Mus musculus: one gene and its partners. The protein of the gene in region 1 purifies or fractionates together with the protein of each later gene. This does not show direct contact. Links are inferred from orthologs where the notes say so. Each region holds a gene or a part of one and is shown on either strand. Other genes may lie near its edges. The genes, in order: Marchf5, Mfn2 and Mfn1.

Region 1 (3,647 bases):
TTACTGCTCTTACAGTGGACGCAGGTTTAGTTCTTAGCACCCATGTCTGGTGGCTCACAATTACCTGTGAGCCACAAGGAATCTGGTGCCCTTCTGGACTCTATAGGCATTTGCACTCAATGTGCACACACCCACATAGAGATACACTTAACTAAAAATAAATATTTAAAACTTAACTTCAAAATAGTGAAATAAGTTTAGGGTTGGTTCAACAGACAAAATACACTTAGAGAGCATAAAAATTGTTTATTCAACCTATTTCAGCCAGTATTGAGTTTTCTATATTAAAAACAAGGAATTAGAAAAAAAAATACAGCAAAATTAGCAAGGCAGTGACTAATGAAGCCACTTAATTATATATTCTTCAACCATTTGGTAAGTAATGAACATTTTCAGCCAACTTAGATGGAGTTAACTTCTACAATAGAATTTTACTAATCACTGAATTCTAATTTTTTTAAAAAAAGGTTTAAATGTGACATTTCTAGGACAAAAAGAAAGGAAGGAAGGAAGGAAGGAAGGAAGGAAGGAAGGAAGGAAGGAAGGAAGAAAAAGAAAGAAAATCGGAGAACAGCATACTCACAAATCCTCAAGTCTGTGCTGGCTCTGTCCTCGAGGGCCCTACCCTTGGTTACTGCCCTGTCCTAGATGGGACGACCACCTTTAGGAGCTACTGAGGCCGAAAGTACCTGTCTTTTCTCAACCAAATCCTAGAAAGTGTCTAGGTGTGACTTGCATTTTAGAGATGAACGTAACTGTGGCTGAATAGCCACCTGGCCAAGGTTATACACTACAGCTACTAAAACTTGATGGGAGCTCAACGTAACCTATTCAGCTTTCAGTCTGCCCATGTCTTTTGATTTGTGGTTCCAGGGAGGCCTGTCATGTGGTGTTCAAATGCAGCAGGGCTAGTGTTCACTCTGGACTGCAGACAAGTGTGGCTCCCTCCCCATAGCTCTATAAACCTCTGCCTTCACGGGCCTTGATGCCAATAGATCGATCCAAGCAGCTCCCCACCCCCCACCACCACCCCGGAAATTAAAGTAGTACACAGGGAGCTGAGGGCTTGTGGCTGTGTAAAAGCTGCTCAACTTAACAGGAGTATCCAGGAAATGTCAGAATATATATATTTTCACACTGGCAATGATGGAAGCCAATTTCATAATTACAGCTGTAGATCTTAGTTATTTTTATATATAATCAGGGTTCACATTTTCTCTACAGAATAACAGCAGTGTTAAGGTTAACTCAGTCAAATTGCCCCTTATACCCTAGATAATTACAACTCTGGATGTTCAAAAGAGTCATTCCCACAGACACCGTAAAACTCAAAACTGAGATAACCAACCTAGAGAAAGATACCAGTCTTTACTAAAATATTTATTTACAATCTAACACAGCTCAATCTATATTTGTTACACTTCTAAAGAGAAGTATCCATTTCGCAGAAAGGGGGAGCATTATCATGCATCATATACTGTGAACAGCATTATTTTTTAAACTTTAAAAATTTTCATTCTAGGGGCTGGTGAGATGGCTCAGCGGGTAAGAGCACCCGACTGTTCTTCCGAAGGTCCGGAGTTCAAATCCCAGCAACCACATGGTGGCTCACAACCACCCATAATGAGATCTGACTCCCTCTTCTGGAGTGTCTGAAGACAGCTACAGTGTACTTACATATAATAAATAAATAAATCTTTAAAAAAAATTTTTCATTCTAATCAGATTGCTGAACATTGTAATGGTCACTATTAAACATGACCTAAATAATTGCTTTTGAACAATGAATATAAAACTAGTTAAACAATGACTAGTAAGGAGATCGCCCCCTTAATATGACAACTAAAATCTAAAAGGAGGGCTGGTGATGTAGTGTATACCTAGCATGTGTAAGGCCCTAGGTTCAATCCACAGCATTAAGTTAGAAAAGCAGGTGTTGTGGTGCTCACCTGTAGTTAGGAGGCTCAGGGATCAGGAGCTCAAGGCCACCTTCAGATACACAGGAAGTCTGAGGTTAGCTATGCTAGAGACCCTGATTCAAAAACAAGATACCCTAAAAACAGTATTGGCTATCCTATAAACAGATAAAGTGGAAACCAATGACCCTGATCAATACTCCATAATTACCTCACTGATATTCAAGAGCTCCCTTGGGTTCAATCAGTGCTTGTTCTATTAGACTGCAGACTCTCTGAACAAGTTCCCCAACTCTATCCCATAGCACCTGCACAGTGACTAGGTAAGTGGGAGCCAGTTAACAAATATCTGAATAACGGAATCAACAGAAACCCAATAATTTTATTATCATTTTTTGCAAGTTGTTCTCTGCTTAACCTATGAATCAGTAGTTCTAATTTGTAGAAATACAAATTTAAAAACATACTAAGTGATAAAAGGGCCTTCCACCTCATTTCCCTATCACTATCCTCTGCTTCCCTCCCTCCTACCTTCTTTCTGAAGTCCCCTTCCCCGCTCACACACACACCCTCACACCACACACACAGGACGACTACGAGTCAAAAGTACACTATGAACTATGAGATGTCAACATTGCATAAATAAAGTTTAATAGTGAAAAAGTGCTTTGGAAGCCCTGGAAACTGACCCTTCACATCTGAGATGTCACATGGGTTTAGGAAAAGAAAACAAAATCTCTTTTGTTCAGATAATCACTTCAATGCTGACATACATTTCTGGGTTTGTTATTTATTCAGAACTAGTTTACACTTCCTCCTGTTAACAGAGGCTCCTTTGTAGCATACAATCAATTACACCAATGAGAAAAGCCCTCACAGTTCCTTCATCGAGTTGCTATTCCTAAGAAAACACTGAACTGAGTATATACAAAAGAGGCGTCAGAATAAAACATGTCCACTTTTAATGTTTGTACAGTTTTATCTTTACATTCTTGTCTGGAAAAATATGAACAAACTCAGGTTTCCCATGCTAAAATAATGGTTTAGCCGACTGCCATAAAAGTAGAACATACAAATGACAGAGCTGACGCGTGTCCTTAGGTCCGTGATTACTGGGCGGCTTGCCCCGGCCCTGCGTGCTTTATTGTATCTCTTAGAATATAGGAGCAGCGTCACAAGTCTCCACTAGCGCATTAATGATGGAATCAGAACACAACAGACTCGTCAGGATGAGAGGCCTCAGAACAACCAGAAGTCAGTTTTATGCTTCTTCTTGCTCTGGATAATTTAGGATTTTGCGGTGTGCCTGACGTAAATATTGCTGCTGTTTGAAGTAAACCTTAAATGCTCCTTTTATGGCAACAAAAGCAATTCCACCCTAAAATAAAAAGGGAAATTAATGTTTTTATAATGCAGGATCAGATAAACAAGAAAAAGAACTTTACACCTATCACAAAAGACAGGATTTGAAGCCAAGTAAATGCTGATAATTACAAGTGAAACATTCTCTTCTGTGAGGGCAGAAGTTGGGAAAGAGCAGGCTTCAAGTAGCAAAGGAAGAGGCCCTGTTCCTACATCACTTGTGTAGCTTTCTTCCCATGGAGTTCTTACACACTGAGAGAGAGGAGAATGCCAGGCACTATGTGGGCTGCAACCAAGGAGGGCAAACAGGATGACAGGAAACAGTATGAGCCAGTTTCATCTCAGTTGTTTATTTATGATGCTGGTACT
Region 2 (3,647 bases), on another chromosome or scaffold:
TCCCCACACACCACACACACACACACACACACACACACACACACACACACACACACAGAGGACACTGAAACTTAGACTCAGATAAGGGAGATGAGTCCCTTCCTTGTCACTTAGTTGATGAGCATCAGTTAGAATCCTGGCCTCTTGTTTCCAGGTTAGGCTCACCACTGGGATGCTGGGGTCTTTGATGTGAGCATTGGGAGGTGTTGGTGGTTTCAGCAGAGGGGGAAAAGATCCCAAAAGCAGGACTGCAGGCCAGAGCAGATGTGGATAAGCTCTGCTCAGCTGCTACTCAGTTCTGTGTAGATTTAACCATGAATAGAAGAATCCTGCCTAAGCCGCCATGTGCCCAATTGATCCAGTCTCTGTCCCCTCAGGGAATTGTCTGGGACATTTGCTCATCTGTGCCAGCAAGTTGACATCACCCGAGATAATCTGGAGCAGGAAATTGCTGCCATGAACAAGAAAGTCGAGGCTCTGGATTCACTTCAGAGCAGAGCCAAACTGCTCAGGTGAGTGGCCAAGGACCAAGTGGGGGAGGTGGAGCTTGTCTGCCACCTGGTGTCTCCAGTGTGGACACTGGGTGCTCTCTGGGGATTTCGCTTTCTTGTGAGATGTTTGCTTGGCACTGCTGAACGTGGGATGGACAGTGCTAGTGCTGGAGGCTTAACAGACAGTTCCGCTGTCCTCAAGGTGCTTGCAGATGGGGCAGAATGACATCCAGGAAACAAGCAAGGCAGTGCTGGATGTCACAGCTCATGGGTTGCCCTCTGAACTTGGGCCTCAGCACTTGGCACAGCTGTCCCACCCAGTTTTTGTCACCCCTATAGGTCATCAGCTCTGCACATTTTGTTGTGTTTGAGACAGGATCTCTTTGTGGCCTTGACTGGGCTGGAACTTGCCATATGAATGAGGCTAGTCTCAAATGCACTGAGCTCCCCCTACCTCTACTCCCCAGTGCTGGGGTTAAAGGTGTGTGCCACCACACCCAGATCAGCTCTGCTTTCTAATAGGAAAGTTGGTAGCCATGGAGGCTGAGTCCCTTGTCTGGAGCTCTACAGGAAATGGCCAGATGGAACGTGGGGTGCAAATGGATTGCACTTTGGTTTCCCTTGCTCTGTGTGAGAGCTGCCATCCTATCAGTCATACTCAGTTCCATGCTGAGCCCAGGAGCTGGGGTGCGTAGCACCAAGTCTCTCCACAGGAACAGGATTGGTGGTCTCTTTAGAACTGTGAAGTTTGCTGGGAGGGGGGTTAGTTGAAGGAGTCTGGTTCTGTGTTCTGGCCTTGCACTCTTTCAGCTTTCCTGTGTCTCTCCTGTGGCTTTTATCTGTGAGATGAGCCACAGATGAAAATAGAAGTATTCTGCTAATTCCTTAGCCTGCTCAGGCCATGATAACATCAGTATATGGGGAGCTGCACTTCCTGCCCCCACCTCTGATGTCAGAGGCCCACGGGGGACAGAGCTAGATAATCAGAGGACTTGAGCTCTAGCCATGACAGATCAGTGGTCTTTCCCTCCTTTGTCTGGCCTACGCAATATGCACCTCTTGCCCATCACCAGGGATACACTGCTCTTCCACTGGGACTCTTGGGTCCAAGTGTCTGTTGCTACCTGTAGCAATAAAGATAGCCTGAGCTAACACCCAAACCTTTATCTGTCAATCAAGAAAGCTGGCTTCCAGAAACTGAAACTTGCTCTGGGCTGTAACCAAACTAGAAAAACCTAAAACCTGCAGTAGTGGTTCACTCCTAAAATCAGAGGACATAGGAAGGTAAGGCAGGAGGATGGCTGTGAGTTCCAGGCTAGCCTGGGCTACTTAGTGAGATCCTGTCTTAGTTCACTCCTTTTAAAAATTGCCTGGCTCTGTCCCATCAGCTTGTGACCTCCTTTTCCTTATTTCCAAAATAGGAAAATGTCCTTTTAAAGGATTGCATGAAAGTTCAGATAGGCTAGTGTGGTCTGCCATAGCAGCTGTCTGTACAGTCATCTTGTATTTGCAGGAATAAAGCTGGCTGGTTGGACAGCGAACTCAACATGTTCACACACCAGTACCTGCAGCCCAGCAGATAGTGGGCAGCCAGGGCGGACCTGCACGAAGAAGAGGCAGGGCCGCACCTCCCATCAGCTCTAGTCCTTGGCCGCTGCAGAGAGAAGGAAAGCACCCAGTCTTGTACCAGTTACTCCCTACCCCCTGCAGGAAGACCCCTGGCTCATACCCTAATGGAGACCAACAAGGACTGGACAGCTCGGCTCCAAGGAGTTATGCATGTGTCTGTGTCTGCTCCTCACGCTCACCCGGTTGAAAGTCACTGTGCATTTGATAAAGTTTTCCTCAGAATGGCACCCTGCAGAATGACTGATGGGCGCCTTCACAGGCATCAGGCAGCCACTCCTACTTTCTCCAGCCTGAGCACACCTACAGAGAGACAGTGTTGGGGGTGACAGGATGCCCCAGAAAAATTCAGGATACTTCTGAAATTGCCATGTTTGTCTCAGAACTTGTATCTTGCGTTTGGCCCTCAGCTTTAGCACTTTTTCCCACTTGCAGAGTCTTTCAGTTGTGCTTGGTAGCCAGGCTCAACACACCGGGGCTTTAGACTCAAGCAGCTTATATGGGAAGCTGGAGACCCCTGCCAGCCAGAGCACAGTAAGGGCTCGGAGAAGGTATGTGAACTAGGGTATCTGATGTGGTAGTGCAGTTGGTGTCTGGCATTGTGACGACAAGGGACTTGCCTCCCTTCTTGCCACTGAGGCCCTTGCTTTTCCTTCAGCTCTTGGCCTGTTGGTCCGGTTTATTAGTGAGAGCTAGTTTGCTCCAGGTGGTTAAAGGATGTAGCAGGAGGAATGGTGGAAGATGGGAGCTGCCCGGGTTAGTACAGAAGAGGTCTGTCTATCTGACCTAGCACTGAGGGGTTCACAAACCTGTGAGGTGCACCTCACTAATTTTGGCTCATCCCTGCCTTGCTACAAGCTCCCTGTGGCCACCATTCTCTGGACTGTACCGTGCTGATGACTGCAGCTGGCTACAAAACAGCATGAGAACCTGGCCGCTGTTCTCCTACTGCCTCCACCCTCAGGCAGGCCTCCTCCTCTTCTGCCCCTGAAGCCTCCTGCTGCTTGCTCCTCCTGCCTCCACCCTCAGGCAGGCCTCCTCCTCTTCTGCCCCTGAAGCCTCCTGCTGCTGCTCCTCCACCTCAGTCAGTGCTGAACTTCTCACTGTTGAGTGTTGAAATTGTTAATGGTCAAAGCAGGGAGGATGCCAGTCACCAAGGTTGATTGTCTTGGGAAAGCAGTTTTAGAGTGATGAATCCTTTGTAGGACAGGTAGAGAGTATCTTAGAGATAAAAAAATGGGCTATGTCCTCTCCTGCCCATGTCTTGTGCTCACTCGCCCCTCAGTCTACCCTTTTTGCTGGGACAGTGATGGTCTTGGCCAAGGTCAGCATGTAATGGAAAGACAGTGTATTGCCAGGCTGGATAGATGGGGTCATCTCACAGTGGGTCACGTGAAAATCAGTGTCACGTAGTCCCAGTGAATGTTGTGTTCTTTCTGGGGGGAGGGGGGAATAGAATAAACTCAAATTCTTTTTCAGTATAGCCCCTGAGTAATGAATGAAAATTTGAGCTTATGTAAGTAAAGATTC
Region 3 (4,122 bases), on another chromosome or scaffold:
ACAAAAATCTTCAAATTTAGGCAGAGTGAGAGCACAGATCTGAATTCTAGCACTTGGGAGGCTGTGACAGCGGGTTTGTGAGTTCTTTTTGTTGTTGTTTTGTTTTGTTTTGTTTTTTGTTGTTGTTTGTTTGTTTGTTTGTTTTTTTTGGAGACAGGGTTTCTCTGTATAGCTCTGGTTGTCTTGGAACTCACTTTGTAGATCAGGCTGGCCTCAAACTCAGAAATCTGCCTGTCTCTGCCTCTCGAGTGCTGGGATTAAAGGTGTGTGCCACCACGCCCAGCTCATGCTTGTTTTTTTAACTCATCCATTTTAGCACTGTCCTTCCTATGTGTCTTGGACAGTTTTTCTCCAGATATTCCCAGTAACAGTCCTGAAATGACCTGAGAAATGACATCCTTTCAGAAAACACATACCTCTTTGGCTCCACCTTGCTCATTTTTCTTCACTCTATCCTCTTGTCCTGATCTCCCCCCCCCCCCATAATAGCAGTCATAGTCTGAAATGATCTCATTCACTGTATTTATCCAACTTTTTTATCCAACTTTTATTTTTATTTATCCAACTTTTGCAGGTGCCCATCAATGTTTTAAGCACTTTACACCCTAACCCATTTACTTTCCCACAATTCATGAAGTAGGCATTTTTAGTATTTTATAGATGAGGTAGCTGCCATTCATATGGATAAAGGGGCTTCCCTGGCAAAAGCATCTCATTTGCTAACTCTGTAAAGAACCTCTCAGGACACATGCTGTGAAACCTCTCTTGGAAGGTGGAACATGTAGAGTCCTTGGGCTTCACCCTCGATCAATCAATCAATGGTTTAACAAGATTCCCAGGTGATTCCTAACAAAGTTTAAATCATGAACAATTAATTTTCTTGAGTAATACCTCTTACAGTAAGTAGACACACACAGCTCACTCCAGTAACCCCAGAAAACCAATCAAGACCAGAGCAATTGGAAAAGTCAAAGTTTTGACGACCCCCCCCCCCCCCCCCGCATGATAAACATCTATGTGGTTTTGGGGTACTTCTCCCCCTACACCCTCAGATAACCATGGACATCTTTTCACACTTGGCGCCTTTGAGCTTTGAAAACTCTGAAGGGAAAAACCAAGGGGAGGAGTTGGAAGGTGGAACAGAAAACAGCCCAGTGGTTAATAAGAACTCCTGCCCAAAACAAACCTCGCCTTCAGCCCTGAAGGAAAATGGCGCCCGCAATATATGCAGTTCTGGTCTCGAAGCGTCAGCCAATAGGAGATCCGAAGCGCCGGAAGTAGCCGCCCCTAGCCCCTCCTCTGGGCACCTCCCCTCTTTCGGGAGGATGAGACAGCCAGGGGGCTGTGGCGGAGCTGTGGTTGCTGGGTGACAGTGGGGAGCAGGGACGGAGTGAGTGTCCGCTGGCGGGTGGCGACGTCCGGGGTGACCTTCGAGCTCCGGACCGGCGCAGCGCGAGCGCCCTGACGGGCCGGGGCGGCGGGCCGGGCAAGGGCGACGGGCGGCCAGCCTGAGGGAAGGCCCTGTCCAGGTAGGAATCCACCCGGCTGGGCAGGCTCTCGGCCCACGCGGCTTCCTCTCCCCACGCACCTCCTCCGCGCCGTCAGTTCAGGATTCCGGAGGGAGCCACCCTCCTGGTGGCCACGGCGCTTCTTTTCACGCACACCAGCGTTAGCGTGTGCTTGTCTTTGGTGGCTTTTCATAGGAGCTTCCAGGTAGAACGTCTTTTACTTTAAATTCAACATTCCTTTAAGTTTGGGGACTTTGGCTTGAAGCCTTCCTTCATGCCTTCTTTAAGTCTTGACTCCGTAATTGTGACGAAAGCTGCTACCTTCTTGGTGTCTGTACTGCATTAAGACTTGGGCATTCTTTTATTTTCTTCGCTAACTGGGAAACTTAGTTTAGCTAAACTAGTTTCATCTTCACTCGAGGAAAATAAATTAGGGATTACAACCAAGATTTTTGTTACTAGCTTTTACCGATTTTACATTTATTTACATATCTACTCTTCCAGGATTGAAGATTGAGCCCCTCCCAGGTCTCCCATGCTAGGCAAATGCCATTGTATCCCTAAACCGGTTTCTAAACTGAGTGTCACTGAGAGACCCAGGCAAGCCTTGATCTCACTCTGTTGCCTCTTGTAGACTTGAATTTTCAGCTTTTCCTGTGTGACACTCCTGAGTAACTGAATTACAGGTAACATGACAGGAGGCAAATTTCTCTTTTTTTAATGGGAGATCACTCGAGAGTAATCTTTGGTTTCTGACTAACATGGTTTCTGTAAATAAATAAATAATACTAAAAAGTATTTTATCTATTTGGCCAGGTTAATTTTTTGCTATTAGGAAATTGAGGCATGAACTAGCAGGTATCAGACTAAGCATGATTTTAAATGTTTGCTCTGTTTTTAGATTTTTTAATGTGTATGTTTTTCTTCCATATACGGATGCATGTTTCACCACAGTTTCTGCGCAGTGCCCTTGAGGTCAGAATAGGGCATAAGATCCCCTGGAACTGGAGTTACAGGTGGTTGTGAGCTACCAATTTAAGTCCTTCTGAAGAGCAACAAGTGTTTTAAAGCACTGAGACATCTGCCTAGCCCTGGAGGCATGCACATTTCATTTCTTCTTTCTTCTTCTTCTTCTTCTTCTTCTTCTTCTTCTTCTTCTTCTTCTTCTTCTTCTTCTTCTTCTTCTTTTGTTTTTGTTTTTGTTTTTTATTTGTTTGATTTTGAGACAGGGTTTCCCTGTGTGTCCCTGACTGTCCTGGAACTTGCTCTGTAGACCAGGCTGGTCTTGAACTCACAGACATCCAGCTGTCTTTGAGTGCTGGGACTATGCGCCACCACTGCCCTGTTTTCATATGGTTTTTAAAATTATATTTAACTTATATGTGGAAGCGGTAGACTTTCACAGTTGGTGTTTGGAGGCAGAGAACAACTTGCTGGAGTTGGTTCTCTCCTTCAACCACTTGGTTTCTGGAGGATTGAACTTAGTCTCCTCCACCTGAACTGTTTTGAGAGATTTTGAGTTTTTCGTTTTGAACAAGGTTTACCAAGGCTGGCCTGCTTCAGCCTCCTCCTGGCTGGGATCACAGGTGTGTAACACCACACCTTTATCATTCAGCTTTTTTTTTTTTTTTTAAATGTGTACGGGTATTTTGATTGCATATATATGCAACCAAATTTTGGTGTACCATGTGTGTACCTGTGTCTGTGGAGGCCAGAGGAGGACATCAGAACCCCTGGAACTTGAGTCTTAAGACAGTTGTGAACTGCCATGTGGGTGCTGGGAATAGAACTGGGTCCTCTAGAAGAGCAGCCAGTTCTCTTTAACTGCTGAATCACGTCTTCAAGCCCCTCATTGTTAAGTTTAAGTAGAGCTTTGGAGATGAGGAAAGCCCTGCTATGTCGCATTGTCCAGGTAAAACTGGACTTCCTGGTGTGAGTGCACCCCCTGCCTCAGCCTGCCCCAGTAGCTGAGACTCCAGGCATTTGTCATCCACAGGCTAATTATTGCTTTTCTTTTTTTTCTTTTTTTTTTTTTTTCTTTTTTTGGTTTTTCGAGACAGGGTTTCTCTGTATAGCCCTGGCTGTCCTGGAACTCACTCTGTAGACCAGACTGGCCTCGAACTCAGAAATCCGCCTGCCTCTGCCTCCCAAGGGCTGGGATTAAAGGCATGCGCCACCACGCCCGGCTTAATTATTGCTTTTCTAACCTTTTTCTCAACCTAGGTGCATAATGGCAGAAACGGTATCTCCACTGAAGCACTTTGTGCTGGCAAAGAAAGCCATCACTGCAATCTTCGGCCAGTTACTGGAGTTTGTTACTGAGGGCTCACATTTTGTTGAAGGTGGGTACCTCTTAAACTAGTAAGGTTACTGTTGAAAGTGTACGCAGGTGCTTTATTATTTCCACTTCAGTTTTTTATTTTACCCTTTTGAGATCAGACTTGCCTTGAAATGGCTGTGTAGCTTCCAATGGCTTTAAACTCTGTTCCACTTGCCTCTGCATCCACACAGGTATGTGACCTGCTCAGGCTTAGTTGTGGAATTCACATTGTTCTGCATTCTGGGAACTATGCCATAGTGAGTGAAAACAATTTCACAGTTAAGAAAAGAGTAA

Evidence for each region.
Region 2: the proteins of Marchf5 (region 1) and Mfn2 purify together in Homo sapiens (affinity purification with mass spectrometry; 5 studies listed by BioGRID and IntAct, counting the BioPlex papers as one, with this or other methods). This does not show direct contact. The link is inferred for Mus musculus from reciprocal best matches to the Homo sapiens genes MARCHF5 and MFN2.
Region 3: the proteins of Marchf5 (region 1) and Mfn1 purify together in Homo sapiens (affinity purification with western blotting; 4 studies listed by BioGRID, with this or other methods). This does not show direct contact. The link is inferred for Mus musculus from reciprocal best matches to the Homo sapiens genes MARCHF5 and MFN1.

The regions. Positions count from the first base shown.
Region 1 is NC_000085.6:37,221,037-37,224,683, reverse strand, and holds the end of Marchf5 (E3 ubiquitin-protein ligase MARCHF5), read right to left. Parts: exon of another isoform or gene 3,608-3,647; intron 3,295-3,607; coding exon 3,178-3,294; 3' UTR 227-3,177; downstream 1-226. UniProt on the Homo sapiens protein: Mitochondrial E3 ubiquitin-protein ligase that plays a crucial role in the control of mitochondrial morphology by acting as a positive regulator of mitochondrial fission and as an important regulator of immune response.
Region 2 is NC_000070.6:147,873,816-147,877,462, reverse strand, and holds part of Mfn2 (mitofusin-2), read left to right. Parts: intron 1-377; coding exon 378-512; intron 513-2,004; coding exon 2,005-2,074; 3' UTR 2,075-3,647. UniProt on the Homo sapiens protein: Mitochondrial outer membrane GTPase that mediates mitochondrial clustering and fusion. Mitochondria are highly dynamic organelles, and their morphology is determined by the equilibrium between mitochondrial fusion and fission events.
Region 3 is NC_000069.6:32,528,167-32,532,288, forward strand, and holds the start of Mfn1 (mitofusin-1), read left to right. Parts: upstream 1-1,315; 5' UTR 1,316-1,529; intron 1,530-3,731; 5' UTR 3,732-3,738; coding exon 3,739-3,850; intron 3,851-4,122. UniProt on the Homo sapiens protein: Mitochondrial outer membrane GTPase that mediates mitochondrial clustering and fusion. Membrane clustering requires GTPase activity. It may involve a major rearrangement of the coiled coil domains.